2 linked regions of the Drosophila melanogaster genome follow. The protein of the gene in region 1 interacts with the protein of each later gene in a pairwise test. Each region holds a gene or a part of one and is shown on either strand. Other genes may lie near its edges.

What was found.
Region 2: the proteins of dsx (region 1) and CG31740 interact in a two-hybrid assay, tested with the Drosophila melanogaster proteins (2 studies listed by BioGRID).

Annotation. Positions count from the first base shown.
Region 1 is NT_033777.3:7,959,072-7,976,606, reverse strand, and holds the start of dsx (doublesex), read left to right. Parts: upstream 1-9,198; 5' UTR 9,199-10,144; intron 10,145-13,820; exon of another isoform or gene 13,821-14,377; intron 14,378-15,484; 5' UTR 15,485-15,801; coding exon 15,802-16,855; intron 16,856-17,535. Other genes in the region: CD98hc (CD98 heavy chain), read left to right, coding at 194-1,470, 1,742-1,988. UniProt on the Drosophila melanogaster protein: Controls somatic sexual differentiation. Binds directly and specifically to the FBE (fat body enhancer) of the yolk protein 1 and 2 genes (Yp1 and Yp2).
Region 2 is NT_033779.5:17,994,458-18,010,194, reverse strand, and holds CG31740 (uncharacterized protein), read right to left. Parts: upstream 1,243-15,737; 5' UTR 1,097-1,242; intron 961-1,096; 5' UTR 888-960; coding exon 702-887; 3' UTR 501-701; downstream 1-500. Other genes in the region: CG42635 (uncharacterized protein), read right to left, coding at 1,369-1,767; CG42634 (uncharacterized protein), read right to left, coding at 1,857-2,201; CG42659 (uncharacterized protein), read right to left, coding at 2,478-2,627; CG5693 (uncharacterized protein), read right to left, coding at 3,194-3,412.

The sequences.
Region 1 (17,535 bases):
ATATGTGTATATATGTGTGTAACATACATGTGTATTCGCAATTATTGAAATTTATTTGTGCAGTTTTATTGTTATGAAATACTCGTTTTTCATATTACTAATATGTAATTAGTCTCTACTTTCTGCTTTTACCCTGACGCATTTTATTATTTTATAAAATAGTACTTTTAATAATTATTTCTTTTCATTACAGGCCTTCACTGGTATGAGCAAGGAGGAGCTCATGAAGTACGCCAACGACCCTTTCTGGGTGCGACTCCGCTGGATCTTCTTCGTGTGCTTCTGGGCCATTTGGGTGGGCATGCTGGTGGGCGCCATCCTAATCATCATCGGAGCCCCCAAGTGCGCTGCTCCGCAGCCACTTCCATGGTACAAGCGTGGACCACATGCCAAGTTCGCCAGCGTTGAGACCTGTAGGCCAGAGGATGTTCAGGTCGCCAAAAAACTGGTTTCCGCTGGCGCGATTTATGAGCTTCCAGCTGCTCTGACCTACGACGTGAAGAAGCCGGAGGTGGAGGAGAAGATCAAGCATTTGGTGGCTCTGTACCAGGGCAGCGATACCAGGGTTATACTTGACCTGACGCCCAACTACGCGGCAAAGAACTCGCAGCTTGTGCAGGATGCCATTGCAAACCCGGAGAAGAGATCGGCCTTTGTCTGGGTGAGCGGCGGTAAAGCTCTTCCCAACAACTGGCTCAAGGTGGGCGGCAATCGCAGCGCCTGGGAAAAGGTTGGAGACAACTATGTGCTCTCCCAGTTCGAAGACGGGTACTACGACCTCAAGATGAACAGTACCATCATTAGGAACGAGTTCGGAGCAGTCCTAAAGCATCTGGTGGCATTGGGCGTTCGAGGCTTCCGCCTGAAGAATACCAAGTTCTTTGCGCTATTCGATAGCCTCGAGGATGAGCAGATCTCGTCATCGCCGAAGGACTTCAGCCTGGGACCCAATGAATATGGCTTCTACTCCCACAGACAAACAACTTTCCTATCCGGCCTGGGCGATGTGCTCTATGATTACCTGAGCATCGTGAAGAATGCCTCCGACGAGGCTTTCTTCTCGGTTGCCGAAGATGTCATGGAACCACAGGTGTACCAGTTGAGCGGAGATTCTGGAGCATACGGCATCGATCTGCCTATGTACGGAAACTTTGTAAAGGTGCTCAGCAAATCTAAGCCAGACACGTCGCTACAGAAGGAACTGGATAACACACTCGCCCAATCGGGCACGGACAGCTGGCTGCAGTGGAACTTAGCGGACGTCTATGTCGACACCCCACAGGATCCATCTGCTCTGGCCATGTTCCTATCCCTGCTGCCCGGTGTTCCCGTGGTGGCTGTGGATGCTGTGGCTTATCAAAACGTTACCGAGGAGACCTACAGGCAGATCACCTCTCTGCGCAAGACTGCATCCTACATGCATGGAAATCTTAATCTCTACCAGGCCGATCCACTGGTCGCCTTCTCCAGGTAATTGAAGTTGTTTACTTTCTCGATTGTATTTGTCACTAACTTTTGTATAATTCGTTAATGCTTGCCACATGAAGGCAGAGGTAAAAACTTAAACCAAGTGTCCCTATATATTATATATTAGTATTTTAATTTTCGATATTTCTGAATTCATTTATATTCAATCCTACTATAACCTATGCTTAATTTATTAGTTGTGTTATTATGTAGTTAAAAGATTTCAGTTATCTTTTTGTTTTTTTTTTAAACCCATTTTATGTTTTTTCCACAGGATCAAGTCTGGAAACCCTGGCTACTTTGTCATCTTCAATCCCACCGAACTGCCGCAGGCGAGCAACTTTACTATCCCAGACAATCTGCCGGACAAGATGACGGTGTCCTATTTCAGCGAGCAGTACAACAATAACATGGATAACTCCGGAAAGGTTGCTCATGCTGGACGCGTGAATCTCAAGGATCTCAAGGTGGCCCCGCACTCCAGCATTATCCTGACCTATGTGCCAGTGAAGGCGGAGTAATGTGGTAGTACCTGTAACTATCCACCAAAATAAACAATATCGCATAATGGCATATATACAGAAATTGTATAAAAAAGTAACTCGCTTTGTTAACCGTTGAGATTTAAAGCCGCCAAACAAAATTAAAAACTTATTCGCTGAGAACTTTTTAGACTTGCTTGCTTGTTAAATGCGCTTGCTAAGAAATAAATACAATATTTGCTTGCATTTAATATAAACTTGTGTTTTAATGCATATTAGTTTGGACAAAGACCCTAGAATAACAAGATGCGTAACGCCATACGATTTTTTGGCACACGATTTTTTGGCCGTGGCTCTAGAGGTGGCTCCAGGCTCTCTCGAATTTTTGTTAGAGAGCGAGAGAGCGAAGAGCGCTACAGCGAACAGCTCTTTTCAACGCACAAAGTGATAGCAGACATCAGTATGTGTGCACACGTATTCACATGCATTGTAAATTTGACAAAATATGCCCTTCACTTTAGAAGTTCTTTGGCTTTAAATCTATATTATTTTTGATAAATAAATTTCAAAAATGACTTTATATAAGAATATTTGTCATTAGAGTATTCATGTTGCGGCGTGTGAAAAATTAATAAGGCAATTGTTGAGTGCTTGTGTCCGCACTTCGTGCCTCAAGATATGAACAAAGCAAAGACACTAGAATAATTCTATTGTCTTTGATATTACTTTTGCAATTTAATTTAATTGCATATTTAATTATTTAGTATATTTATTAAATCATTTGACTTAATATGATGTAACATTAACATTAAAAGTGTTTCAAAAAAAATATTTCGCTTTTAAAAAATTGTCAGATGAGAGACAAATTAGAATTAAACATAAATATAAATGTGTAAACGGTAGCTAATTCGAGCGGCGATTTTAACAAACAAATTTAAAAAGCTTTAAAATTATAATATTCAGGGCGCGAATTTTTAAAAATTTTTTTATTTTATCATATTGCTAGGAAATTGGCAAAAACTACCCTAATATGTACCATGTAAATTCGTTTCTTCGATCAGAATTGATTTCGGCCCGAAAATCGTCTTCTAGCACAACACGCACACTTATACGCGTTCTCGTCTCTTGTTTTTACTCACACAAGCAAGCAAATTATATTTTTAGATTTCTTACGCTCTCAGCGGGAGTGAGCCGAAAGAGAGTAATTTTGGCCGTCACCAAAAAAGTGGCTGCATAGTGCCAAACCAATGTATGGCCGTTACGCATCTTGTTATTCTAGTGTCTTTGGTTTGGATTAAATTCAATGGGCCTAACATTAAAATATATATTTAAGTATATTAACATTTAACAATGTTTTAAATATCGGTCTGGCAACATCCAGTTTCTGGCAACGCCAGTTTTCGCCAGAATGGCAACTTTATGTAACGTATAATCAAAATTCAAATTCAAAGGTCTTGTGTGCGTTTGTGGACTTGACACTACAACAACATCAACACTACACAATTTTCTAATTTGACATTCTTAAACAAGTTGGTCAAAATGCATCTCTCCTGCTTAAATGTCATACCACACTGAAGAGGAGCAGAACTATTTGGCCTTTGTGGAAAAGTTTAAAGACCTCAAAGAAAACAGCGAATGCATTTGGCATACGTGTGTGGGCCAACTTTGAGATACAAATAGTTGGGGCGAGCTGGCAAAACAAAAGTATGTGCGATGTGTGGGCTGCCAAAGACAAATAATCAAAATCGACAAGCGAAATGAGCCAAAAACAAAGCGGCCAAAATGTTTTTAGTTTGCACAGTCCTCGCTTTGAATGGCAGCCTGGGGAGCAAGAGCTCTCTCCACAAACCTCCTCGCCACTTATGCATGTGTATCACCAAAAGGCCAAAAGGATATGCGCACGTGCTAATGTGATTAGATACACAAACACCAGCATGCTGATGCAGGAAAAGGCGACTTGTTCGAGGAACCGCAACATGCAGTGCAGTTGATTGCGGCAAGCCAGCTACAATAACAAGAAAACTCGACTACCGTGCAGAACAACTTCATTTTGGGTATCTCCGAGATGCAAACTATTGTTGCGCAGGTCATCATCATCGTCCACATCATAATCATCATCACCATCATCATCTGGGAACTGCAAACTTCTCGACCGGTATTCCGCCCCTTCCCACACACATATGTACTTAACACCCACCACCATCCCTGCCAACACTTTGGACCTGGCCTTGTGCGCTGCGAAATTATTTTGTCGCTACAACTTTTCCATCAGGCAGTCATCAAGTGCAGCACCAACCCTTCAGGACAGGTCGACTCCGGCTGACCACTGATTTAATTGCAATGTGCAACACATCTGCTGCGATGTCACCAAATGCGCAGGGGAATGCGTAAAGTGGTTTTTAATAAAGTTTTCACTTGTATCCTGGCTTCGGCCTTGCGAATGATGATGAAAGGGTTAATTGCTCCCCCTGACAATCTGTGGTTGTGACGGATATACATTTTTTTACACTGAAGGTCATAGATGTTTTGTAGGATTAACATTTTGTATTTGGGAAAGTGTGCTTAAGGCTATGGATGTTTTATATGTATATTAATATAAAAAACTTTTTTAAACAACCTTTTGTACATGGATAAGTATCATTAGTATCACTTATTTTATCGCACTATCCCTTTTCAAAATGCAACTAATAAAGTAGGGAAAATTAGGTAGCGGGATTTTTAAAGACCACACACTCGACTATCACGTTCTTAAATGGTGCACATGTACTTGCTGTTGTAATATATTATAATAGCCCAGTAAGAACTTTAATATTCGACTATAATAGCTTTTGTCACGATCTGCACATATTTCACTTACTTTATTTTCTATAATAAACAAGTAATCATGAGCGATAATGCCATGTTTTATGTTGCATGATCAGTGTAATTGCTTTATTAATTGCCGAACGCCGAGCTCTTACTTTGTGTTAATGCAAATTTCGTAATTATATTAAATACAGCCTACGTAGTTAATATATATAATAATATGATATTTAAATACAATGTAGTGCAAGTCACCCCAAATTGAACTATTTCTACGATTAAAACCTTTGCTGGCACATTTATTAGGTGTCACGATATCAGCTTAGGGTTCCTTTGAAGGGCTTACAACGGATTATGGGGCGAATACGCACCAGTGTCAACAACTCAATTCGATGGGCAGAAAAAAAAAAACAGCCAAATGAGTCGGCTAATTTGTATTGATTTTTTATCGGAAAAGCCAACTCCCTTTTTTCTTGCGCCCCATACTTTTTCAGCTCTATGTTGCTGGTGCGTATTTCTGTTTGTTTTGAACTTTCCCATGAATAAATTTTGCATATTAATTGAGCGACTGTCATCAATATGTCTGTGCGCAGAACGGAACCCACCCAATGACCAATGAGCATTCCCTGCGCCAGCCTCATCACAGCATGGCATCATTAGTTGGCCTAAAAAATCCCATCAGGCTTTGATTAACATTTTGTGCACACAAATGCCGGCCAAATGCAAGAGCGTCTAAATGAGTTGCATCTAATTGAGTGACAAACACGCCACGAACAACACAACACCACCGACACACCAGACCCAAGCCCAGACCCAGACCGACAGCAACTGGCCACCTCTCACAAACTGTGCCAATTTGTTTTAAAATGCATCATCCCGGCGCTCAATCAGCTCTGCTCGGTCCAGTCCGGAACTTATCCCACCCCAGGATCCCCCAATGTCCAGTGCCTGCTCTCGACTGTTTTTCAATTTGCATGCAAGCGTAAATTACTCTCGGCTCGAGACCCCTTAACCCCTTCCTGGAACATCGGACCCTCTCCCCGCACGGATTCCGCCCGCTGGTCGGTTAAAAGGTTTGTCCTTTGGTTGTGTTCTATATGCAGATTGCCATCGCTGTCGAGGACTGCTCCGTTCTTGCTCCTCCTTTTGGTGTGCCTGACGGAATCTTGTGCCTGACTGCTTTAAATAACTCTGCGTATCTTGGTTATGAACATAAAACACGTTTTTTGGCACCCCATTTGTCATTAAGCTACCAATTTGCTCGGCTTCAAAAACATCTCAAATTTCCCACCAATCGAACGAGAGGGGGGAGCTGAAAATTAGCCAGGTTAAAAGCCCAAAGAAGTGAGATCAAAAAGCAAGCGATGAGGACGAGGATGGCGAGCCTTTCCCGACGCCGGCCCAAAACTGATAAACACACAAATCTTTAAGACCGCAATTTAAAATTTTGAAATGCATTTTAATTGAGATGTTTCGTAAGTTAAAACAATTTACTTACTGCTGTGTATTTAAACAAAATAATTAACTATAACAAGGATAGCTTGAAAACATTATTTGAAAATCCGATTAGGGCTGCACAAGTGCTCTTTTCTGTGGAATTTAACCATCCACTTGTTTAGTTAAGTGTGGTGTAATCAAAATTGTTTTACATGAACTCCGAAAATTTCCCCATTAATCTTGAATAGCAACTTTAACAATTTCACGGAAGCAGTTTTGACTTCGTGTACATATTCACCCGATCCGTTCGGTGGAAATGCAAACTGACAGCGGTTGATATACATTTGCGATCTGGGCGCCAGACTTGTGTACGATTCGCATGCCTAAGCAACTCGACTGGCTACCCAGTTAAACAGGAGAAAAAATTGGCGATATAGTGAGGATTTTTATGGTTGTACGCAAAAATTGTGATATCTCTGGTAAATATGATTTATAAACTAAAATGAAATATTCCTTATTTTTCATTTGAATACAAATTGCTATTACTCTTTTTCAAAAGCATGATTCATTAAAAAATATGGTAATTCAAGGAAAGTTTGGTTATAAAATTCTAAAAATATTCTATGGTAATAACTTCTTCCGCCACTTTCGACCTAAAGTAATACATTCAAAGTAGATGCAATTTTTCTCAGTGTACTTATCTACCCACTACCGCAAACTAAGCCGAAAGACCTCCTTCCGAGTCGCTAACAATGTACAACAACTTGTAGAATGGCCATAACAATTATAAAACACGAACACGAGTCGCTCGCGGGGAATTGCGATTGCAATGGTAGGCAGCGGGGTGAGGTGTCTGCGGAGGCAGACTGCGGTTGGCAACTTGGATTACCTTTATCTGGCTGCCGGGTCATCCGGAGAATTCTGCGCCCAGCACTTGGCAGCATTCCCCGATGTCGTCGCTGTGTCGTGTATCTTTGGTGCGGCTTTCGAGGTGACAACTGCGACAGCTAAACGTCAATTTGTATAAATGTTTGCAATTGCCACCGATGCGTCGGTTGTGGTGAGTGTGGAGTTGTTAAAAATAAAACACACTGAACGCTGATGATCGATGCGGGGGTCGCAAAGGTCCTACAAGGAAAAAAGAGTATCTGTCAGATGCAGAGAGTGGAACTGGGAGCAAGAGAGCAGATCATAAATAAATATTTCCTTAGCAATTTGCATTTTTTCTGACCGCCCGAGTGTTTGTTGTTTGCCGTTCTGCCCCAAGTTTGTTGGCGTTTTTTGAGAGCGCACTCGGCCAAACGAGTTTCGATTCGGATGCGTATCCGCGAGATACTCTTCCCGCGCCGCTCTTTGCTAATTGATTTATGAGATTGCAAATGCAGATGCCCCCAGCCAAGCTCTTTCGACACTCCGCCATAAAAAGGGCTAAAATTTGTGCGATCCAAGGTACAAGAAATGGTGCAAGAAATGCGCCTTTAAAGCTATGTGAATTTTATCGTTCTACAATCGGCACGGGATCAATTGGTGAAGATGTAAATCGGATTTGGATGAAAAATGTATCCCCTTGCCTATGCAATATATACAGTTTCATGCAAATCAATGACAAAGCCTTCCGCTCTCACTTTCGTAAACATTTTTTAAATAATATGTTGTAGTACCCTAGTATGCAATTATATTAAGTTTTCACATTACCTCGATGATATTGATAGTTAATATAATAAGTAAGTAATTTTCTTTAAATTCAATTTTTGTATGAGCAAGTCAAAATAATTACATAAATTCATTAAATTTAAGTCACTTTATCACTTCATTTATTTAAATATTAAATTAATAACTTTTGTCTCTGAAACACTAAACGAGAATCAAAAACGGTTAATTAATGAGTATTATCTTAATGTTTTCTGATCGCTGAGCCATTCATTCCCCTACAATTTGGTCACCAATGGGAAACTACTGAAGTACCGAAGGCCCTTTCGAAATCGATTCACTGCCCAAAAATCGAACTCTCGACCATTTTTGGTTACCTTTTTGGGAGTTGCGTGCATCGCCTGAGGGAAGTATCTTTTAATGGAGCCGAGCTTCGGCAAAATTATCTCCGCCGTACTGTATAAACGATCCTGACTAATATAACGGCTGACGATGAAAGGGGACCTTTCAATGTGATAAATGCGAGTGCGACACACGCAAATCGCTGCGTCTAAAGGTGGCATAAATACGCGGCGCAGGCCGAAACCCAGCTGAGTGGTTCGACCTATATCGTCGGCTAGACGCCCAAACCCGATTCGATGCTCCCCATATCTGGCGCTTCTTCTTCTCGCGCCACGCGGAAAGAGAACGGAAGAGAGAGAGAGAGCGACCAGAGTGCAAATTTACGATCGGCACATGCAGGCGGGAGACGTCAATGTACGGCAACAAAGTTGCTCCACTCGAGCTTCTCGCAGAGATTCGCAAAAAAACACGCGAACTTCAAGAGAGAATCGCTCAGAGAGGAAGAGCACGTCTTCGATGTTTTATGCTCCCCATTAATGGGGCAAATGCACTTTACACTCTCGCAGACCCGTTTCTCTCCGTAACTCTCTGTTGCCCAAGATGCTTTCGTTTGAGTTCTTCACATACCAACGTTGCTTCGAGCTTATGAGTTTGCTAAAAATCGTGGGAACCGATGAAAGAAATGCCCTTCTATCGTATAAATGTTTCTGTTTAAAAACTATTTACTTAGTATTTAAAATAATTGACCGTTTTTCGTATTTCACATATTAAATAGCAACACAGAAGTAATGAATATTTTAAAACATTTTCCGTTCAAATACATAATTTTTTAAAATACATTTTATTTGGCTGATATTAGCGGAAATTAGCCCTTAAAAGTATGCAACGCAGGTAAGGAGAATTAAGTATCCGCAGTGCGGAACCTATATTTTTCGCGGCGAATTTAGCTCATATTACATACGATTTAATAGTTTGCAATACTTTTTTATAGTTCATAGTTCATATTGTAAGAATTGTGTTTAAATTATGTTATTTTTAGCATGGTTTACTTATGGAAAAGAGCATAGTTAAGGGTTTACAATGAAAACGGTCAAATAAGGGTATCCATATCTGGTACCAAACCAATTTGCTTTCTCCCAGTTGATGTGCAGTGCATCCAGCAGTCGAGCAGGTTGGATGCTCGCACTCGTTTCTTTTTTCGCGGTGCAGCAACCAGAGTGCAAATACAAATAGCAAGAGCGTTGCGTCGCCAGTCGGTGGGCCCGTCTCTGTGCCAGAAACACATGCTCAGTTTTAGGTCCGCCCGTCCGCCTGAATGTCCGTGTATCTGTCCGCTGTCTTTTGGTCTGCTAGTCGGACTGGTACTGGTCCGAGTGTTAGTATCGTGCACGGGGAGCTTTAGCTTTGTGGCCGCAACCAGTTTGCTGGCATCGATCGTCCTTTGCAGGTCGTGCATGTCGCGTTGGCGTCTCGCGCCGTCCGCGTTCCGTGCTCGAAATCACAATCTCAAGCTGAAGTGAAAAGAACTGGAGCGGATTCGGTACAAAATTCTGTGCGATAGTTTTTAGTTGCTGTGCGAGGTCCGAAAATATCTCTAAAATGCGTTGACCTACAGGGAACCAGATCGAGCCGCGAGTGCCATGCTAAACAAAGTCGTTTGCGGCTACAGCTTGTACGGTTTAAGATAACAAATAAAAGAAATAAATTTTTACCGGCTTCACACTCTCACTCTCGGTCCACGAAGCACTCCTGACCGTCTCGTACCCAGCCGATCGGACTCCCCGTATCTCATCGAGTTCGCCGAGTGCTAGTGCTATATTCTCTCACTTTGCTTGCATAACCAAGAGCAAAGCACACCTCGCGGAGGCAGATCGCAGATGCAGATACAGATACATATACTGCTAGTGGTCTAGTAGTGGACCTGGAGATACTCTAGCGAGTGCATGCAATTGGCATTGTACCTGGTAAGTGAACGATGAGTTACGAGCGCTCTGCGGCCAAAATGTGCCACCACTCCGCTCCGTTTTGCCACCTTTTTGCCCGGCATTTGGGGGCGTTGCAAACTGCCTTGTAATTGCCTGACATAAATGCTCGTGTGTACAAGGCTTAATGGCGATAGCAGCAGGTACGCTCAGCGATTGCCATCTACAACTGGCGGTATGACTGCTGAATGGGGGGGAGCCAGGGGTTCAGGCTATTGTCTGACTTCCAAATTAAACAGGAAACGAGCAACAGGTCGCGTTTTACAGCCACACTATGAGACTCCCGCATTAGTTTCTAAGATTGGGATAGCGTAGGCCATTGCCATTGTCGTTTGCGATCGGCTATCCTAGATGACTGCATACATATAAGGCAAATTGGACCAAGGTCTAAGTGGTTATGAGGAAAATGCAAATGACAAATACGGAAACCAACTGGCTTAAAACGATAAACACGTGCTGAATATTTTTATTCAAATTAAAGTTGAAGCGAAGGCGTTTCTTGTTAATTTTAAAGCTTACCATCGATTATTCACGAGTGCTGCAATTATAAAAAATATATGTAAATTAGAACTTAAATTTTTGCCAATGCTCATTGTGTATAGCGCGAAAGGACAGTTTACCTTTAATATTTTGTGTTATCTTGGGGATAATTATTCATTTCTTTTGGCTATTATTCTTGTCATTTGTAGTCGAAATAACATAGTTAGCCTTGCTAAGTTAAAACTCATATTTTAGTGGGCGTAAGAGATCATTAGTAGAAACTGCAGCTTGCTTTCACTCACGAAATCTCGACTTTCATGAAGACGGATGACGCAAATGGCAAGATCGAGTACACCTGTCTGTAGTCTTAAAAAAAAAGGTATAAGAACCTAGCATGCCGTTTGACTCCTCAGCAAACATGCAGACTTTTTACTCATAGATTTATATTAAGTAAGTTATTAAACCATATTAGCAAGACGAATATTTTAGTATAATATAAATCTGAGCTTGGTACATTTTCCCAAGAATATATACAAATATAAAATACCTGTAAATGCATTTTTCTTAGTGCACAGTTATAATGATCTGTACTCAACTTTTTAAGCTGCACCCCACTTGCAATTATCATATAATCGACTTAAGGTGCTTTTGCCATTTATAACGCCGAGCTGTCCTTGGCCCATTAATAACCTGAAGTGGGTTCTTATCGTGATCTCTTCCGCTTTAGACAAATTAATTGAGCATACATGCGCAAGCTGCACATTTTTTATGCTCGCCCGTAATCAATTTAATCCGCTTTTCCTTTGGCAACTTTGACCACTGTTTCCCTGCTTATATTTGTCATTATTTCCACCAAACACAAATATTGAAAACTGATAGCCAGCAGGGTCTTTCTCTTAAAGTGGCTCTTCGGAGGAATTATTTCTCTGCGGGTCTCTCAGCTCATACAAATTAGAGGCGACATGCAAGATAAGCAATCTTGTGCAGTTTTTAAACACACAGGCAAAATAACAACATTTTGCCGTGGCCAGCGGGAGGCGGTGGAAGAAGGGGGCGGGTATCTGGTGCTAGCACGAATGTGAGACCCGTTATCAGCACATCGTTCATGCTCAATTTACCCTCCATTTAAATACAGGGTATTAACTCTTTAGACTCCGAAATTAAGTCATTACAGCAAACGAAAATTGAGACAGACAAACGCTCACACTACATGTCACCTAGCTAATAGATTAAAATTCTCATCGATACTGGCTTTCGTCTATGTCACATATATTTCTCCCTATCTTTCGTTCATTAGGTTCTAATCAATCGTCAAACATTTTGAGTGTGAATCTGTGTGCATAGGCAAGTTCAATGAGTCACCATAATGTCAAACTAAGTGCAAATTAGATTAAACACGAATCAAACACGCCAGCAGGTGTGGAGAAAGTGGACAAGAAGTGTAGAAGAATCTTATATTCCCTATCTATATAATATAGAAATATTAACCACATTCTTCCCATGTATACTTTTTACTTATATTACTTATATTATTTGGTTTTTTTATTATTGATATGTAATTGATTGATGTAAAGCTTTTTTTATTTTTGTGCTTTAGAGGGCCATTTATCGATTTACGAGTATCAACATATTTATAGGCTTAACTTATTTAAGCAGGTAACAATATTTTGGTTCTTTAAGTTTGAGTAAACCCATTAAATTAAAAAAAATGTTTTTTAGAATTCCTCTTTTCCATTAATTGTTATTATATTTTAATATCTTTCTAAAATTGTTATATATCATATGTATATATGTATATAATATATTTACGCACATACATAAGTTAAAAGAGTAATAGAAATGCCACGAATTGCACTTTTATTTCCAACCTAGTTAGATAAGAAGTATATACATATACTATATTTCAATGCCATACCTCTAAAACCCATTTCCAATAGCCCACTTGAAACCATTTCCTCGTATGTAGTGGTTATCGACTGACTGACTGTATATAAATGATTGGAGCTCCTTTGTTAGGTAGTTGCACAAGCCTCTAGAAGACCATTATACCGGAGTACCGTCCACAAATATCCACATCACTCACACGCCCTTTAGAACGAAAAACTAAGCAAAACAAATGCAATAAAATTCGCAGCGCAAAGCGGGCAAGCAGAAATGCAAAAAAGCAATTAAGAGGCGGAAGGCGAAACTAAGACTACGTCGAGCGCACTGCAACTCGAACACAAACAAGTTGCAAGGCGACTGCAACCGGCATCACAACACACTCCAACATTCACAAGTGCAGGGAAAGCAGCGACACCAACGAATCGACAACAACAACGCCAGCCAATGTGTGTGAGGCTGCCTATGTACTAGTCCGTCCGTTTGTCTGCGCGAGTGTGTGTGTGTTTGCTGCATGTGCCAGTATGGTGTATGGTGTATTGGTGTGCAGCCCCCACATTTCTCCAAATGCACGCAACGTCGACGCTGCACAGTGGAGCCAAATCATAGGGCTTTATTCACAAATATTGAAGCCTCCTACATATAAAAAGATATTTTCTGAACTTTTACTTATGTTTTCATGTGTTTCACAGTTACAGTCTTGGGAGTTCAGGAGAAAAACTCTTTTCGATCCACGTTAAACTTAAAAGACGACGATTTTTGAAAACTGGTAACATAGAATAAATCCTAAATTCAAGTAATGAATGGTTCCTTTGGTAATTTGAAGAGACCATAATACGATTTGTTACTTCCTTGGTCCCTTGTTAAAGCTATTTTAGACCAATGAATTAAATAAATCCAACTTCAAGAAATCCAACAAATTCAAGAAATAAATAGTTTCTTTTAAAATATGAAGAAAACGTAATACTAAAAAAATAAATAAAATAAATAAAATTGGAAGCCCAGCGTTACTCAAGCATCCGTCCAAACTCGCAGGATTATCAAGGACTTTCGGCCCACTGTGGCTCAGTTTGGTGCGCTGCTCTTGCTCTCTCGATGCGATTTTCGGTTCCGTTTCGTTGGCGGTGCCCGCTTCCACGCAAACACAGGCAAACATCGCACAAACACCAGCCAACTGGCGCACACACACACCATCGCACATCCGCGGGCCGGGCACCAATACTGACGCATTCGCTCGGCGCTTTTGAGTTCTTTGCATCCGCGTCTTGCGGCCCAATGTGAGTTGCCTTGTGCATGCCAAAGATTTCAGATCGGTCAGCAGCAGCAGAAGCAAAAAGCTCGGCTCGCGACTCGCGCGGAACGTTTTTTAGAAGTTGTGCGGATTAAAAGAGCAGATTTGTATTTGATTGGCCCTATGAATATTGATTTTTGCACGTTGCTATCGGTGCTGAATCAGTCGCTTAATTGGACTACAATCGGATTCTTCAGTCGCGCGTTTTACCGGCGGCTTTTGCAAGTCAGTTGAGATCGTGCAACACTTTCTGTGTGATTTTTTGTTTGTTGTGTGACGACTATTAATTGATATTTTGAAACATACAGCTGAAAGTGACTGTATAATTGGAATTGTGGAAAGCAAGTGTTATGTGTGAAATCAACAAAAGCTAAACATACCAATTATTATTCTAATCCATCAAAAGTAATCCGGCATATTCTTACCCATAATTTAAAAACCTTAAAAGTACATAAATCCAGCTCTTAATATAAAGTTATTACTAATATATAACGTATTTTCAAATATCATTAAAAGTATTTTGACTCTTAAATATAAAGTCTTTTAAAATACACGTAAAACAGGTAAATAAAATGTTTTTAAGTTGTAATTTACTCTATTTTGAATGATCAAATGATCTCGAAAATAAATATAAATGCATTAATTGTAAATTAAAGTACGTGCATTATTGCGAGCATAATAATAAAACATGTTTTAACTATATGAGCTTTTATTTATAAAAAATTGGTTACTCATTGCTAAACATTATTAAAAGGATAAAGAATTCGAAAAATTCGCGTAACCCATTGAAGTAGGGGAATAATTTTTTGGACAGTTTTTATCCAACGACTTTTTTGTATTAAACGTTATATGATTATACAAAAATTTTCTAGTAAATAAATTTTAATTTTTTAGAAATTTATAGGCAAATTTCGGCAATAAATTTACCTTAACTTTTAAAAATTATAAATGTTTTTCATATTAACTTTTGCTCATAGATATTATACTTTATTTTACGATTCATAATTAACCGTATTACGTAAATGTATCTGAGAAATTTTTTACACATCTCTCAAACGAAAAAGACACTTGGAAAATTAATGTGTAGACATTTTAAAGAGTCAAAAGTCGACCATAATTCCAGTACCTCCTCCCATTAACTATTTGCGCATCCGTCGTTTCTGTTTGAGACAGTATTATATAGTATTATATGACACCGGGACAAATTCACTACTCTATCAATACAATGTATCTACGCGTTTGACTCCGCCTTCGAGTTGTTTCTGAAATCCAATACGAGTCCAAGCAATGTAAAGGGGCGTGGTTGATCGAATCTAAATGATTTTTCATACTTTATTGCCATATAACATGCGATGTCCGATGGCCAATAAAAACGAAGTTTTAACATGTGGTCTTGTTTTTAAAAAAATTCCAGAGTGAAGTGTACGCGAAAATATGGCAAACATTTTCTATTGTTACCAATACAAATGTAAATTTTTTGCTACCACTAGCCAAGCATGCAAAAAATATGGCTAAACTAAATTCCTCAATCGTTTATAAACATTTGTGCCTCTTGTTTAGAGTATATGGATGCATTGGAATTGCATCAGCTGAATAAGAGTGGAGTGCATATGGACTAAGACATGACAATTATCTCGTATTAAACAAAAATTTGAACTTTCTCTTTTCAGGTGCTTCTAAAATCAAAAGAAAGCAGCAAAATTTAAAAGTGAGACCTAAAGTCGAAATATTTTCCAATACTCTTCGGACTTACCCAATAACTTAAGCTTACCAATAATTTATGCAAGACTAAATTGCAATAAAGGCATATAATCCCTAACAATATAACTCTCATTGAAAAAATCTTAAATAATTTAAACCCCAGTGAATTAAACAGCAAAAGACAGTTAATAGACACAGAAAATGCTAATAAAAATAGCATAATAAAAGCACGGTTACATAAACTTAGACGCTCGAACATTTACATAGGATATCAGAAGCTGGAATCATGGTTTCGGAGGAGAACTGGAATAGCGACACGATGTCCGACTCGGACATGATCGACTCAAAGAACGACGTCTGTGGCGGAGCCTCCAGTTCCAGCGGCAGCTCGATTTCGCCGAGGACACCACCGAACTGCGCCCGCTGCCGCAATCATGGCCTAAAGATCACCCTAAAGGGACACAAGCGGTACTGCAAGTTCCGCTACTGCACGTGCGAGAAGTGCCGACTGACGGCGGACCGCCAGCGGGTGATGGCTCTGCAAACGGCCTTGAGGCGAGCCCAGGCGCAGGATGAGCAGCGGGCGCTGCACATGCACGAGGTGCCGCCTGCCAATCCGGCGGCCACGACCCTCCTGAGTCATCACCATCATGTCGCAGCTCCCGCTCATGTCCACGCCCACCATGTGCACGCCCATCACGCACACGGAGGACACCACTCGCATCACGGACATGTCCTGCACCACCAGCAGGCAGCGGCGGCCGCAGCAGCAGCTCCGTCGGCTCCAGCCTCCCATCTGGGTGGCTCCAGCACGGCCGCTTCCAGCATCCACGGTCACGCCCACGCGCACCACGTCCACATGGCAGCTGCTGCAGCCGCCTCGGTGGCTCAGCACCAGCACCAAAGCCACCCACACTCGCACCACCACCACCACCAGAACCACCACCAGCATCCGCATCAGCAACCGGCCACGCAGACCGCCCTGCGATCTCCGCCGCACAGCGACCATGGTGGCAGTGTGGGTCCGGCCACCAGCAGCTCCGGCGGTGGAGCACCCAGTTCCAGCAATGCGGCAGCGGCCACCTCGAGCAACGGATCCAGCGGCGGTGGAGGAGGAGGCGGAGGGGGCAGCTCGGGTGGCGGGGCAGGAGGTGGTAGGTCATCGGGAACATCGGTGATCACTAGCGCCGATCACCACATGACCACGGTGCCTACGCCCGCCCAATCGCTGGAGGGGTCCTGCGACTCGTCGTCGCCCTCGCCGTCGTCCACTTCCGGTGCAGCCATTTTGCCGATCTCAGTTTCCGTCAATCGAAAGAACGGCGCCAATGTGCCCTTGGGTAAGTGACTTCATTTACATTCATAAGTCTGAAAATGCATTACTTTATAACAAAACTTTCACCCAACTCAATATCGAACGTGATTCGTTTTGAGCCAAAAGAGCTCAACTCTACCAACCACGAGCTCATAAAAAACTATGTTTATATCTTTTGAGATCACCCATTAGCAACATTACTTATGGAGTGGTTTTTGAAGGTTACCTAATGAAATTTGTTGGTCTAAAAACTTTTTTATGTAAAATCCATCGAATATCAGATACCCGTTACCTTCTAGCTTTTAAAATTTTTAAGATCTCGACATTTATACGGACGAACAGATCGGCATGGCTAGTGATCCTGATCAAGAATATGTTAACTTTATTGGGTCGGACTGCGTAATCCGTTTAAGTCTGACAAAAACAACCTTGTTTTATGACGAGAAATAACAAATGGAATACGTCCTTCACTATTTGTTAAAATCAATTTAAGAACAGACGGACATTGGATGATCTTGCAATGGCCCATTTCATTTAATTAGGGTCATGTCTTATGTTGTATCTGTCATGTAAAGATTCGTCTCTGGGAGCGCCAAAAAATACACGATGTATCGTGTAACTTTCTTAATCTGCGATCTTTGCAAGTATCTAGCCGTATTTATGGCTCATTTAGTAAAATGCACACGGAAAATTGAAAATGAAAAG
Region 2 (15,737 bases), on another chromosome or scaffold:
AAGCAATGAAAATTCCGACCTACCGCAATAAATTCCGCGGAAAAACAAAGCAAGTGATGCCAAAATAAGAGTGAAATGGCCAGCTCACACACACACATGAATGTAAATGAAGTGGAATCACCACCTCAGAAAAACTCAGGGACACCTCAGACACGGCCCTGTAAATCGCGCTTATCCAAAACACAACATGGCATCAGGAGGCATTGGAGATTCAGTTTCATTTTCATTCAAAGATTGAATAATAGAAGGGGGTGTTCCATCCCTACCCCAACAACCTTTGACCTGACACAATGCTCTACATTCTATGTTTTTGTTCGAGTTGCGCGTTCGAATCGCGACTGCGCAATAAACCTGATGCCCCAAACAGCTGTTCTAGGCAAGACCTAGGACAACATTTGCATCCTTAACTGGAGGCTGGCCATCCACGTTTACATTGACGTAATCCACTTGCCAGGTTGGATCTATTCGGTGTTGAGATATATCACAAAGCAGTTCCTTTTGTACTTTAATTCATTTTATTACTGAACAGCTTATAATAAAAATTCTTTATGTATACGAGAGCTTAGTTGGTTTAGCCCCGGCCAAGGCAAAAAGGAATTCGAACAGCAACATATTTCTCCAGCAGTCTTTTCCAGAAGGTTGATCTTTAAATTGACTTGTTACCGCTTGCTGCCGTATTAATGCCTATGATAGCGGGCGCTTCACCAGCCGCAAGGACACGAGCTGCAGCCACCACAAGGACCACATGGACCACAGCAAGGACTACAGCAACCTCCACAGGGACCACATCCGCAATAGGGAGTTCCTCCCATCAAAGGAGCCAGGCAGCCGGGTGGGCAGGGTCCAACGTAGAAGGGATCGAAGCTGCAGCAAAGCATCAGAACCATCTTGAAAGTTTGGATTTGGTAAAGGACACTGGAATCTCTTCTAAAATCTGCAGGAGGGGCTCAAAAGGTACGGCTGCAACCATTCAAAACGGGGTTTGTTATTAACAAAACATTACCAAATATTTAAAAATTACTATAGGGAACAAAGCAATTTTACAATTTTTAAATTGTATAACTTTTTTATTCAATTTTAACGAACTAGAACGTACCTGGGATTTTTTTTCCTGCTGAAGAAATACGTTGAAGTTAATCCTTGGCTACGAATTTAGAATTTTTGTTCAATTTTTCATATTGTTTTTTTTTGTGTTTTATTTTACGAAAGAGATGTGTTCAGTCCAAGCTGTTCAAAATGAATGAGCTCTCTAGGTTTCGAATCCCACAAAGCCCACAAGATGAGTGAAGTTTATTTCCAAGGCCAACTAGAGAAAACTAAAAATTTCCTTTTTTTTGCTTTCTATTCGACATAGTTGCTGACTAGATCCTACTCCTCTTCGGTTAATTCTGCCGCTGGCGGTGTTTCAGGTTTTACTACTACCGGTTCCGAGTCCTTTTTATCCTTTTCGTCTTCCTTGGAGGAGCCCTCGGAATTATGTTCACTGCCAAACTTAGGAAGCAATGGTCCTACAAAGGCACATGCCTTGCCTCCAATACTTTGTACCACGGAGCAGGCGCCATCCATGCGATCGCCCTCTACTAGAGGAGTTTCGCCCTCGACGGCGGACAGCTGATCCGCCACTGGACCACCGCGCCTCACAAGGTCAGCGATCGGATCACGGGTTTGGTTTAACACCCTGCCACCCACTTCAGTTAACGAACGGGAAACTACCATAAACAGGGCCACTATGCCCGCAACTCCGATGGCCGTGTGAACCATTTCCATATCTTGGGCAAAGGAGCAGGATCTTCTGGAGGATCAGGAGGGTCGATGTCGGATTTTTCGATCGACCACGATGACAAATAATTCTAGGGCTACTCTCCAGCCATCGCCGAGATGGTATTATAGGTCGAACGGGCCAAGTTTCGGATACTTCGCGAAATTTCATTTATCAGGTAGTTAATGTCATCCGAACTGACCACCTGCTCCTGGTCGACATGGTGCTCCGGCGTTGAATCGTTTACAATCAAGACTATTTTACGAACGGGCTGAATCATGCCGGATACATCGATCACGGGCTCCGACACATGGTGATCAACCAGAAATGCCTGATGCATGATGATCACCAATTGGCGGATTACTGGCACCACGCGATCGAGGACGTTGATTGCCATTGGGGCCAGTACGTGGTGTACCACGTGATCCACAGACGAGGACATGACCAAGAGACTTGAATTTTGAATTTAGAAAACTATTTTCACACAATTTGCGACCTGATAAACTAAAATTCCCAGGAGTTCTAATTTGAAATCTAAGCCATTTCGATTGGAATATTTATATTATTTCCCCAGCAATATTCAACAGTTTGGTGACGATGAATCAATTTTATTATTTCTCTACATAGATGTGTGCGAGGCTAATTGGTGTGCAGTTTCAAAGTTCAACTATATTTGTTCCCGCCGTTATTCTTGCATTTTATACAGGTACTCGTCTCGTCAATAGCTGCTATAGCAACGACTGTGCCAGCCACCGGGGGTGTATCCTTTGTAAATGTCGAAGTTGCACGGACATACTGCGCATCTCGGATAGGGGCCAATGTAGAAAGGGTTTATGGCCGGAGTCCAAGGACGACTTAAGTAAACCATTTTCAGCACTCGAAAGAAGTCTGCAAATCTTATTTTATAAATACATCTCCCACATTTTCTCTTTCGAAACTCACCGGAAATGGAAGAGAAAAATGAGAAATTTAAACAAATGTTTGACCAGAACAACACGTTTCGTGCTTGAAATTTGAATGAAGAAAATGCGTATGTACGCTTATGTGTTATTTTGTTGACATTTAAATCAAGAATGCTGGTTTAAATTTATTTGACTTCATTTTAGATAGATCATAAGAAAATGAATTAATTTTATCTGTATTTTTTATCCACAGTTATTTTGTGCTAAAATAGAAAAGAGCTGGTAATTTGAGGTTAATATATATTATTATTGTTTTTATTATTTATAGATATTCATTTTATTTATTTATTATTATTATTAATTTTTTTGAAATATAATGTTACAATATGACGGTTCGATGCCCAGGAGATGATGAGCTAAATGGGTTTAGCTCAAGATGTTTGAAGATATTAGCAACACACAACAAGGTTGTGTGTTCAGCACATCTCCAAAGGACTCCTGGTTCATTTTTGCAGCTTTGCCTTTTTCCCCACTACTTCTGTTCCCGGAGCTTCGGTTCTTTTTGGGCTTTCTGGTCCAGTGGTTGCTTCGCCGCGTCCTTGTTGGATTGTGGGGCGGGATTGCATCGGGGTAGTTGGGACTCCGGGCAAACTCCGCACTCCGGAACCGTGCAGTGGCCCTCCTCCAAGCAATCGGGGTCACAGCAGGGCGGATCGGGTCCAATGTAGCCCGGATTAAATATGCAAGGCATGCTGCAGCACCTCCACTGAAAACGAAGGTCGAGGCAGATGGCAGTGGCAAATTGGGTCCCACTTTATAGATTTTGTGAATTTACATAGATGCTAACTGGGTGCAATTTTCGGGCCGAGTGAGGCTCATAAATGTTCTCATTTCCATGGGTATTGAAACACAATGGAACGGGTAACTAGATGCCCGAGTTGCGCAAATCTCTAAACAAAGCTAGTTAATTTCGTACTAGAATCGATGCGAATAGCTCCCACATTGAACTCTATCTCCCAAAATCCGAATCAAAGTCCAATCGCCCTTAAAATCACCGGTTAGTGCGTGCAGAACGCTTATAATTATTTCATAATCGGGCAACACTTCAGTTTTATGGTGACAAAAGCCAGCGGAAAGATAACTGCAACTGCAGGCCATCGAAACTGGGCCACAAATGGCTGCAGGCACAAATATGGAATTTAAGTTGAAATTAATGAATAATTAAGCTGCTTTGGGCAGACGCTCGCAGCGGAAGTACAGCATTTGCATAGCTAACACAATGAACTACATACGGCCGGACAAGACTTGGCCGTTCATAAATTAGATATGCAAATGTAAATGCGAATGGAAAACTAACGGCAATTCCTTTGTCAATTAATCAATCAATCAACGCAGCCGCTCGCTGCGATCCAGAAAGCGATGCGGAAATCACTTGTCCCACATATGTACCTCTGCCCCCGCCCAGAAACTCCATCCATCGCCATTTCCCCCTGGCCACTGCATCTAGCTGCATCTGGCTGCATCTCCATTCATCTACATCACGCATGCCAATTTGCCTCAGCACGGTTTTTGATTGCCCGCTAAGTTCGGAGCGTTGTGAGCCCCCATCGATGCTTATCCCCCGGTTTTAAGGCGATGGCAGAGTCATTAGCATCAAAGGGCCATGGTGATATGACCAGCGCTCCTGGCAGCTCATCTGCACTGTGGTCTTTGCAGTGACCCAAAGAGTTTGAACCGAAGTGCTTTGACTTGGGTTAATTTGTGGGCTTTCAGCTTGGAAAGTATAAAAGTTTCACATGCATTGTTCAAGCACACAAAATACCGACAAAAAGACCGAAAAGGGTTTATTTTAATTAAATTGGATGTGATAAATCGAAAATAGTGATGTTTATGATTGAGGTAGATAGCATAATTTTAGTCAACACTTTAAGCTTATCATTATCATTAAAATATAAATAATTTTTCGGATTCGACCCACTGTGCAGCGTTGTCGGCTTTCAATGTCGCCGGCTGCAGCCATCAAAGTCGTGTGCACTATTTGTGTAATTTATATTCAAAGCGTAACGCGGTGCGTCGACTGCGTGTGTAGGTGGGTGGGGAAATGGGCGGTAAGTGGGTGTTGGGGCGGAGTGCTAGGGGGACGGTTCACTTGGTGGTTTTGGGACCGGTCACTCCGAGCAAACGGACTCTAGTGCCACTGAACTAAGTGCAGTCACGCGAACTGCTTTTAAGTGGCATAAGCAGAAGAACCCAATTCCTGCATAACCAATGAAGTTAAATATATTAGCTTACTCATTTTATTGCTCAGTTCTATAGACTAATAGTTTGAAACTAATGTGCAAAATCAATTAATTATTAAGAGATTCGAATGAGAAGCTCCTGTAACAACACATAACTCTCAGTGTAACCCTTAGATAGAACCCATCCACACTGCGACATTGTCTATCCGACTTCCGTTTGTCGGACGTAGTTCTATTACTTCTTGGATTCCGTTTCTGTTTTTAATAACTCAAGTTCGAACCCAAGTAGGCACACTTGTGCCGTCGTTACTGTTTGAGAAATGTATTGGAGGCCTGACAAAGTGACCGGAAGATGATACTGCAATAAAAAATGAGCACCCACGCAGCGACATGGAACACCATAGAGTGTTTGGCTTGGAAATAGAAAACCAAGTGCTGGAAATGAACATGAACCATGTTTTATATGCTCTGTGAGTTGTTGGATTTTCACTACTCGTAGTTTTTCTTCTTTTTCGTTAGCCATTTATTTACAAATGAACAATATTTATGGCCTCTTTTTGAAAGAGTTGCGCGGTCTGTGTGTATATATTTTGGGTTCCTATGCGATGGGGCCAGACTTCCGTCACAGCCAAAACATGGAAACGATCTGTTCATACTGAACATACATAGTTGTGTCTATTATTTTGTGGTTTTATTTCGGTTTTATGCGCGGAGCGTACCAAACATCGATTATGAATTACAAACTCTAAACGGATGGCAATCAGAAATGGTTTTGCTGAATAAATAATTCTAATTTGCCAGCAATTATGGGCTGTCAAATACGATTGTCCACTGATATGTTTTCGATGGTCGCGGAAAGTGTGAACTGAAGAACAATTAATAAATTTATAGTTTTGTGGTTACCGGAATGAAGTTTAAATGAATAACATTTTGGGTTCGGTTGACGGATTTGTCTAAGCTCATTACAATTGAGTTTTGCTTATGCTATCCAAAAAATGAGGTTTCAAACTTTATTGTATACTCTTAAAAACAGACTGGCTTGGGCATGAATTCTTATATGTTAATCCGGCAAAATATCCATGGATACGAAATCTAGATCTTCGAAAGCCAACTGGATTTATGGCTGTATAAGTAGCTAAAATTATTCCCAGCCTCTTATTACATCTAGCAAGTTGCAATTAGTGTTGTCACGGGAAGAATTTATGAGGAGCAATTGCAGAGGCTAAAACAGGAACCCTAAACGACGGCACTTAAGCGATCATAACTTTGCCCATGATAAATCGAACTGGAATAGCCTGCAGAAATTCCAGATTCTGGCCATGCAAAGCAATTGGACAAGTGGACAAAGGCGGTTACAAAGGCGAGGAAGTGGCCCAAAGAACCTCGAGCAGCTGCTGCCGCTGAAAGGCGAGACCGCTGAATGAATTGGGCTGTCGTTGTCTTGGCAATCAGCGCTACCGGGCATAGAAAGTTAACACACCCGAAACCGGCTTCGGTTTCAGTCGATGCAGCCAGTTGAATTTGCCAGTTGATGCACTGCAAAAATCTGCTCTCTTCTATACATAACTGGATATAGAACATCTATACATAAAAATCCATTTAATACAAAGCTAGATCAGTTTTAAGGCGTATTTAATAAATTTAAAAATTAATTAAATTTATAGAACAATTCTTTACTAGTCTATCTCTAGTTTTCTCAGTGCTCCAAAGTTGCTGCTTGCCAGTCACAAGTGGCAGGTTGCCAGTTGTCGCTGCCGCAAGAAACTTGCCTCCATACTGCGGCGGATGTGAGTTCCTGGGGTAGCAAGAGGAGCAACTGGTGGAGAGGGGCTTCTAAGCGTTTAGCTTGGCTTTTGCCTCGGTTCGCTGGCCCCGCGGAGCGCATCCAACTTCGAATTGCCGCAATTGCGTGTCGACCACAATCTTAACCAGCTGAAGAAGCGACTGAAGGAGGCGAAAAACTTTGAGCCAACAAGGATACACTGGAAAAGAATTATTCAAAGTTACATATTTCGAGAGATGTTAGAAAAAAGAATATTGTCATTGGGAAAAACCAAAATTATTCTATTTACTTTCTTTATAATATTAAAAATGTTGCTTCATAAAAGTTTGCTCTTTAGAATTACCTTTAATTTAAAAGAAATGTGGGCTTTCAGTGTCAACTTGAGACTTTAAGGGAAACGGGGTGTTCGGTCAGGTTCCGTCCCCACTTGAAGCTGTTTTCTATATTCTCCTGCCTGCCGCTGTCTGTTTCCTTTTTGCTTTTAATGAATAAGTTGGAACACCTGTTCGTCGTTCGTCTCCTGTCGAGATCTCCGTCCGTCCGAGTGTCTTGGAGCTCTGGTTCTGCTGCTCAAGTGTGACGGCGCTTGTGTGTTCTATCTCTGGATCGGACTTGGTCATTGTTAATACCCCTTGACCCAGGGTGCATTCGGCTGACAAGTAAACTGAGCAAATTTGTGCTAAAGTTAAATTTTGGAAAGATAGAATGAAAAGAAAAATATTCTAAAATAACTAAATAATAATTTTTAATAATAAAGCAGCACAAATTGCAGTCAAAACGCCATAATGTCAGACTAATTCTAGATCATTTTTCTTGTGAGTCGTAAGAATCGTAACATTTTTATTCCCGCGGAACTGGCTTGTCTGCATTTGATGCTTTAATTATCCAGTTGTTTGCCGAGAAAAGCAAATAGAGTCAGCCAAAGCTGAAGCTGAAACCAAAGACTCAAGACTTAAGTCAATAAATAACCTGTTTGAATATCATTACGCATAAATCTGAGCCAATGCATGGCCCCTGTAATCTTCATTCATTAAATCGGGCTCACCTGAAATCGAGAGCCGAGACATTGACACCCGAGGAAAAGGATGTAATGGGAGGGGGGGGGGGGGGGGTGGTGAATGGGAGTCAATGCCACGACAAGTGCCGGCCACGTCAAGTGGCAAAATTAAAACCAATTTCCCAGGGACTCTGCCGTATCACTTGCTCATCAGGAAAAAATAAGAGAACGAAGAAGTGAAGAGTCCTCCACACACGAGTGCTGCTGCTGCAATGACGTTGGAAGGGAAACAATGCGAAAGGCGGCCCAAGAGCACAACGAGATAATTGTAATGAAGAAATTCGCAGCATAATTGATGGAGGAGGGGCTCCGCAATTCACAGTAGCCCGGGAAGTTCAGATACTTGAGCTCTGATGATGCATCGACAGTCGTGTATGCCCCATCACCCCATCATATGGGGCCCCTTGGCCGCACCCACATTTTCAGCCGCCCTGAATGCAAATTGCATTTCTCGTTCGAGAGCTAAAAGTAATTTCGATTGCAATTCTTTCTTTGCCACTGGCTGCTGTTGTAAGTGAATTTTATATGAAGGTGGCTCGATTTATATGGCATTACGTAAGATTCAATTTTCCAAAGCTCGTACAGTGAGAAAAAATAAAATGCTAATGTGCACACATTACCGATTAAATGTCTGCATAACACCGTTTCTACAAACATTAATTACGCTGGGCAAACAAAATATGATATATTTTAGTCGTACAAAGCAGAAGCAAAAAAAGTCAGTTTGGCGTTTAAACTTTGTTTAATAAATAAACAAGCTGATAGTTATATAATACACAAAATGAAATATTTGTTATTTGCTTTCAAAAGTGTGAGATTAATTAAGTTTGATGTATTCTTTTTTTTGTAAGCATACGCAGTGCAATTCCCACTTATTTCCCACTTGTTAATGAGGCTTTCCAAGATATTTAGTAATTGAAGGATTTGCCAGTGGTAATTAAAGAGGCGTGCAGCTAATTCAATGTCGGAAATCAAAGCACTTTTACTGTCGCACTCTCCTTGGACAATTATGTGGCACGACATGAGCTCACGGCTCAGCAAGTTTTGTGGCAAATAATTTTCTTCTGTCTGCAGTTTTCATCAGTATTTTTTCTATATATAAGTACTACTTGTATTTATATTTGAGTTCCATTTTGCTGCCACTGCAGACATTTTTAATAAGTTGCCTGGCAGCCGTTGCACGTCTCACTTCGGCAACAACAAACAGTGCAGCTGCCAAGTTGAAAATGAAATTCGTGGCACGAATAGATTTTCAAACATATATGAGAACGAAAGAGAGAGCACGTCGGCAATGACAGAAATTCGAAAATGAAGCAATTTACTTGTATATTTGATACAATCCCCCGTTCTCGGACAGTTGTCAGCGATCTGGGAACGCGAATCGGAATGGGAAAGTGGAAAATGGGGCAGCACTGGCCAGTTGGCGGGCTTATTAAGTGGTTTCCCCAGCCGGACAACCACCCTTCGTGGTTGGATAATTGGCAAGCATAGTTCAGGCCCTCAATGGATTCCAGCTTAAATACCAGCTTTAATGGCCAGCAATTATCGAGTGTTTGTTGCTTATAATTGCATACAAGTAGGAGAAAGTAATAGATTATAATCATCACTTATTTATCAGTGGAAATTATTTTATATTTTTTCGAACAGAGCAGAACCAATTAAAATATTTTCAGTACAATAAGAGAGCAATTTATGCATGGTTATGGATTTTAGGTTATGGATCCAATAAACCAAAACGATAGAAAACGGTTTCCGCCCACGCCACTAAAACTAACCTAACATGTTGGGCCTTTCCTATTTGGTGACTATTAAAGTAGATGACATCCAGTTGAAAATTTTGTCACTAAGAGAAGAGAAGTGAACCCTTTAGACCGCCACGAGCCAAACTTGTTGAAAGTTTCGGCTGCATGGCCCAAGAAACCAATAAAGAAAACTAAGGGAAAAGTGCCGCAAAAGCTGCCATAGACCTACACTGCTATATACATCTGCACCATATACACTATATATACCTTGGGCAATATGGCGGAAGGTTGGCTTAATGGCTCGATGCTGGGGACCGGGCCTTAAAGGATGGCACAAATAATGAAAGCGCGACGCTAATACTACGTGCAAAATGGTTCTGGCTGCACACGCTGCGTATACGTTACGTTGGCGGGCTTATGCAATGCAATTTTCATTTACATAAATTTTGATGTTGTCTCTGCGAATTGCTCGGTGTGCGGGCGTGTTGGTCCCCGAAAAATTAAACAACACAAGTTTAGCAGGCAAACTTTTACCCCGCACACAGTCTTTTATGTCAATTTGCTGGGAAATTACCTTTTTGTTAATAGTGGAAGACGCGAACTTCCCGGCGGAGCAAACATTAAAAGTAATTCAAATGTTGTAGCGCCACAAACGTTGCAAGCAGCTTAGTGTAGGGCAACAATAAATGCTTATTTAACTAATTTTGCAACACGTATGCAAATATTTACAATGCAACAGCTGCATATATAGAGAGGGCCGACTTCAAAATTTGGTCTAGATAGATAGAACAAATATTTTCAAAGTACTTTTTTTTTTTAATGTAAAAAAAAAAAAACAAGAAAAAAACGCTATAGCCGAGTTTGACGACTGTCAGATTACCCTTTAGTCAGCTAGTAAGAGTGCGGAAAAGAAATTCGAAAGTTATTTTTTAATATCTTTAGCCGTTGGCCAGAAAAATAAGAAAATACTCTAAATTCTAATTTGGGATAATGCTTAATGCGATTTGAAGGCTGTATGCTTTCTTAGTTTCCTAAAACCGATCATACTGGTATTCCGATAAAAAAAATATATACTATCGTAGCATAAATGGTTGAAAACGAATGTTTCACTATAGTAATTAATGTTCTTTATTCTTTAATAATTTGTAAGCCCATTAAACAGTACAGTAACCCACATATCCCATAGGCAACCCTCGCTTTTGTGGCTTGCCTGGTAAGTTGGGATGTCTGGCAAACGACTGCCATTAAAGCCTGTTGTTTAGTTTTTAGCTACTTCCCACGTGAGTTTCCCATTTTCACAGCGCCCACCTCAACAGAAGCCGGAAAACCGCGTGTCGGCTGCGGGTGTGAAAAATAAGAAGAAACCTGGTGGGTGGTGGGGAAAACTTTGCGTCTGACACTTGGGGGTAACACTTAAACGTTTTGCTTTTATGGACACTTTTGAGCTGATTAATTGCCAGCTTCGACTTAATGCCTAATTAGCGTTTGTTTGTCCGCCGATCAACTGAAGACCCGCCATCAACACCTGACATGGGCGCGAAATTTCACACTTTCGATGAGGAAATGCAAACAGCGAACGAGGCACTTAATTAATCTTTGCTTACTCACAGAAGGAAATTATATTAAGGCTGGCCAAGCGGAGAAATAATCGAATATTTCGATTGGTTCAATTTTTTCAGCACATAAAAGCCATGCTTGATGGGGAAATTGTGTGTTTAAGCTTCTGGCAGGACTTCGCTTAAGCCTCCTCCTTGATCGCGTATACGCCATGTTGTGCCTTTGTAAATAACTGAAGCCTATTAAATGTCTTTGCTGGACACATTTAATTAACAGACACGAACAACTTATAATTGCCACTCACTGAACGTTGCAGTGAGGTAATTGTTTCTTTTCAAGACTGAAATACTGAAAGGAATACTGACTGAGTGACCGCCTGGCGTTGCGTGCGAATATAAATATTTTGCAGGCAGGAATATTAATTACCGCAACATGCGATTTTCCACCGCTCTCGAAAGGCAACATGCCATTAAGGGTTTCTGGCTGCCCGAGAGTGGGAAATGCGCTTGTCAGTTTATGTCGGAGAATAATTAAAAAGCCACACCGACAGTTTCGACCTTTGCATTTTTAAAAACCAATTCGAGCCCTCCGTCCAGGGTCACTAATCAACAAAAACTATTTATGGACAGCCTCCGCTTGTAGTGGATTTCCAGGTCAAGGCCAAAGAAACTTGGCCAGATTGTGCTGCCAACAAACAGCGAAACACACAGACATTAGAAAGTAACTAACTAAATGTCAAAAAATAACCATGCTTACGTACTAATTATAGTTTGCTCGGCTTCAGCTTGAGCCTAGTTCATATATATTTATGGCTTATTGCAGCCTACTTCCAGGCGTCGGTTGTCCATAAAAATTAAATAAAAATAAAATAATCAAAGCAGCACCATTCCGTAGTGCAAACTGTGCTGTTTACTTTAATAATTTTAATTAAAAAGAGGGCTCTTTTGCAAATAAGGAGCCCGGCCCAAAAGGACCGCAATCAAATGGCCAAGTGTCCAATTCGCGGCTCATTGCCATAAAAGGACTCTCTACGTTTGAGGACGTGCACTGTTGACTGCAGAAGGCCCGAATCGAAATCAAAATCAAAACTAATTAAAAACCGCAACCACTCGAATGCAAACACGTCGTCTCTGTCTATGACTATGCCTAAAATCCATATGTACCTGGCGTATTTGTGCGGATTTCTAACCCCATAGCTAATGAAGCGTTCGTGTTGATTATAAAAAGGCAACCTCGTTTGCCATGCACAATAGTAGAAAACGCACAGAGTTTTATCCAAATGCAAGTGTTTAATTAAAAGGCTCTGCTAATTAGTATGTGGTCAGATATTTCGTCCACAAAGTGGGCTTAATGCTCAAATTGGCTTCAAACTAATTATTGCCTCTATAGCAATACAAAGATAAAAACAATATAAATTTATCTATTAAGGACCGAGAGCAGCCAACCGAAATATATATGAAGTTAATATTTTATAAAAAATAAAATCATGATATATATTTTTTTAAGCAGTACCAAATGCCATACTCCGTTTGAATATTATAAAGCAGAGTTGGTGAGAATCTTGAGCTCACTTAAATATGAAATTTAGCAACTTATAATTAAGTCTTCGTTTTTAAATGTTCGGAATCCGAACTTCGGATGTCGACTTTAGGCTAAAAAAAAGAGGTTTTGCATAAGTTGGCCCGATATTCGCCGCCAAAATTCCAATAAACATATTGTGCGATAATACCAGCCCAAATCGACGGGTTGCCAACGGGCCCATTTCAATGCCAATTTCCCTTTCATGCACAACTTGGCAGAGCTTATTGCTTTTCACTCTTCATTGCGCATAAATTTAGCATGTACATGTACGCACGAGGCCAGGGACCTTTTCCCGTATCCCCAGTATTTTTTTTGGACTCAGTTTGCTTTATTCTTTTTTATGAGATTTTTTTCTACCCTCATTAGAGCTACACCAACTTCAGCCCCAAATGCAGGTAATCTGCATACAAAGCGCCAGCTCAGCTGCATTGCACACTTTCTGGCGGCGAACACGTTGCACCCAAGGAGATATTGCCATAATAGAGACAGCGAAAAAATAGCTGGAAAAACGGAGAGAAAGCGGAAAATGTTGAGGGGAAACCATAACAGCGTTTAAGGCAAACTAAATGAGACCCACGTAACGGTAGTGAGCATGAAATTATGCATATGTGGGCCGGCGCTTTTCCCACCGCTTTTCCACTTTTCCCGCTGCGGCAACGTAAAGCATTGCAAACGGAAATAATTCAAGTGCAATGCAAATCATGGCCCACCACGCTCAGGTAATTGTGTGCTTACCCAATGAGGAGCGGTAGCAGGATGTCCTGGCAATGGCATTGCCAATGCCAGGAGCAGAGCAGTGCGCACGGAAAACGGAAGACGCGCAAACTGACAGACGGACAAGCAGACAGACAAAAGGACGGATGCATGGAGAAAGCGCTCTCCCCGGAGAAAGTGTTTAATCGAAAGGAGCAAACACTTTGCTGGGCTCGAATTCAGTAGTGTGCCAACGAATTTCCAGGCCGAAAAAACTGCATGAAACAAAATGTGATTTTTAAAGATACATGGGAAATTTATCATAAAATATTTAAATATATTATAACAATGAGCTTAGTTCCGATCAAGCATAATGATTAAAAATATTCATTAAGGCAATATGTAAATTTCACCTTTAAAGTGGTCTAACTTTGAATGGGCACTTGAGAACACAATCTTTTTTGCTTCAATCGCATTGCAATCATCAATTGGGCTGCCGGCGTGCCCTTCATTGACTTGGCATAATAAATCGACAAAAATCCGAATGCATCGCTCAAATATTGGAGCGTTTATATATGCGATCCGAAGGCCCCCGACTTCCGCAGACCAACCTTATCTAAACGCTGCAGTTGGAGGCGAGCAAACTTTGTTCCATTTAATTCAATTCAATCCTTGAGAGTTCAACGAGTGCGAGGGAAGAAAACGGAAACGGCGAAGGAGCGAGCATTTATTTGGAAAATAAATAAATAGACAGGCCAAAGGATGGGGGGGAGCCAAGAGATAGTGAAGTATAAACAAACCGACAGCCGGACAAACAAACTTTTCCGAGAGCATAAAAATGGTGTAAAAAGTACTGCGCCAAGGAAAATCGAAAATGCGCCACATTTGCCCAGCCAGAACATCTATCAAATTTTGCGTTTATTTTCACCCATTCAGGGAAATCAAATGAAATGTGTGAACCAAACCAGATAAAACTACTGAAGAAATACATATACGTGTATAAAATGTAGTTGAAATCCTATTTCCATGTCCGTGTATCCTTTGGCTCGGTGGCAGGTCCTTTTCTTAAGTGGATTCCAATGGCAGCTTTTCGACTTTCGGTGATTTGTAAAAGGGGTCTCTGAATAATCGCCGAACTGACCTTTAAAATGGAAACCAGTCATAGGTGAATGGGAAAAATCTCAGCAGACCAAAAAGTATCATTGTCAGAAGATTTCATTTTATTTCATTTAATTTCCTCTCAGTGCTCATCATTTACAATAATGTCTACGTAAAATTAACATAAATTTGCGATTTTCCAGTAGCTTAGGCGAGTTTTTCACAACAATCAGTGCTGTGGCATAGAGTCAGGCAAAGAAATAAAAAGACAAAGGAAAAGCTGGCCAAGTAGGATGAATAAAAAAACGCGAAATATGCTAAAGTTGACAGCTTAGGGCCTTTTTGCGTCTTGGTGGCGTCTGAAGAATGGAAACATCCTCAAGCTGTCAGGATTTATGTTCTTAAGGTAAAGTGACCTGGCTAAAATTGAATCGGTAATCAGAAAGTGCAACGTGTTTAATGAGAAAAGCCGTTAAACCGAATCCTTGAGCAACAATTGAAATTCAATTTATCAGCACCTTGGAGCAGATTCCAAATAAAACCCCTGAAGCATCTTTTCTCCAATTGAAAACCAATTTCAATCGAAGATTATTCATACAGCTAAGTGACAAATTTGTTTACGTTTAAGCATGTGGAAAATGCAAAACTCAAGCTCAATGCTCATATCAAAATTGTTTGCCGTAGCCCAACTTTAAGTGCTTAACGGCAAGCTCAATAAATTTCTCAACTTACAGCAAAATAAGTTTTGCCAAGAGCCCGGAAAGTTTCCTGTTCTTTTTTTTTTATCCCCTTTCGAAAGAGAAAATTATTTTGAGTGTGCTACGAACAGAATTACCAAATTTGCCTCTCCGGCAAACAAACGAAAAACGTGAGGATCTGGAAATCACTCTATACTCCTATACTATAGTACACATACAGTTGGCAGTTATATGTAACTACATTGTAACGACTGCCCTGGGAATCCCCCTACGTACCATAATCTTCATGTCTGTTTGCAACTGTTTGCGCTGACAGCTCGGGTTGGTTTTCTGGGCTGTCTTTTTTGGGTGGGTTCCTTCTCGGGATTGCGTTAGGATGCACTCCCCTTTGTTCGCTTGCAGCGTGAAAATTGCACAAGATTGCATGTGCTCCTGCTCCGAAAATATTTATATTTATAATATTTTTTGCAGCTGTCATTTGGCCGTGTATCTGCTGTGTGTTGGGGTCTGTGTTTTTTATTCGTGTTTTTGGGCTAACACAAATTACGGTTTGCGGAGAGTGGCTGAGTGGCGGCATCGCCTGCGGTTGGCAGGGGCTAATAAATCAGAAAATATAAAATTCTATGT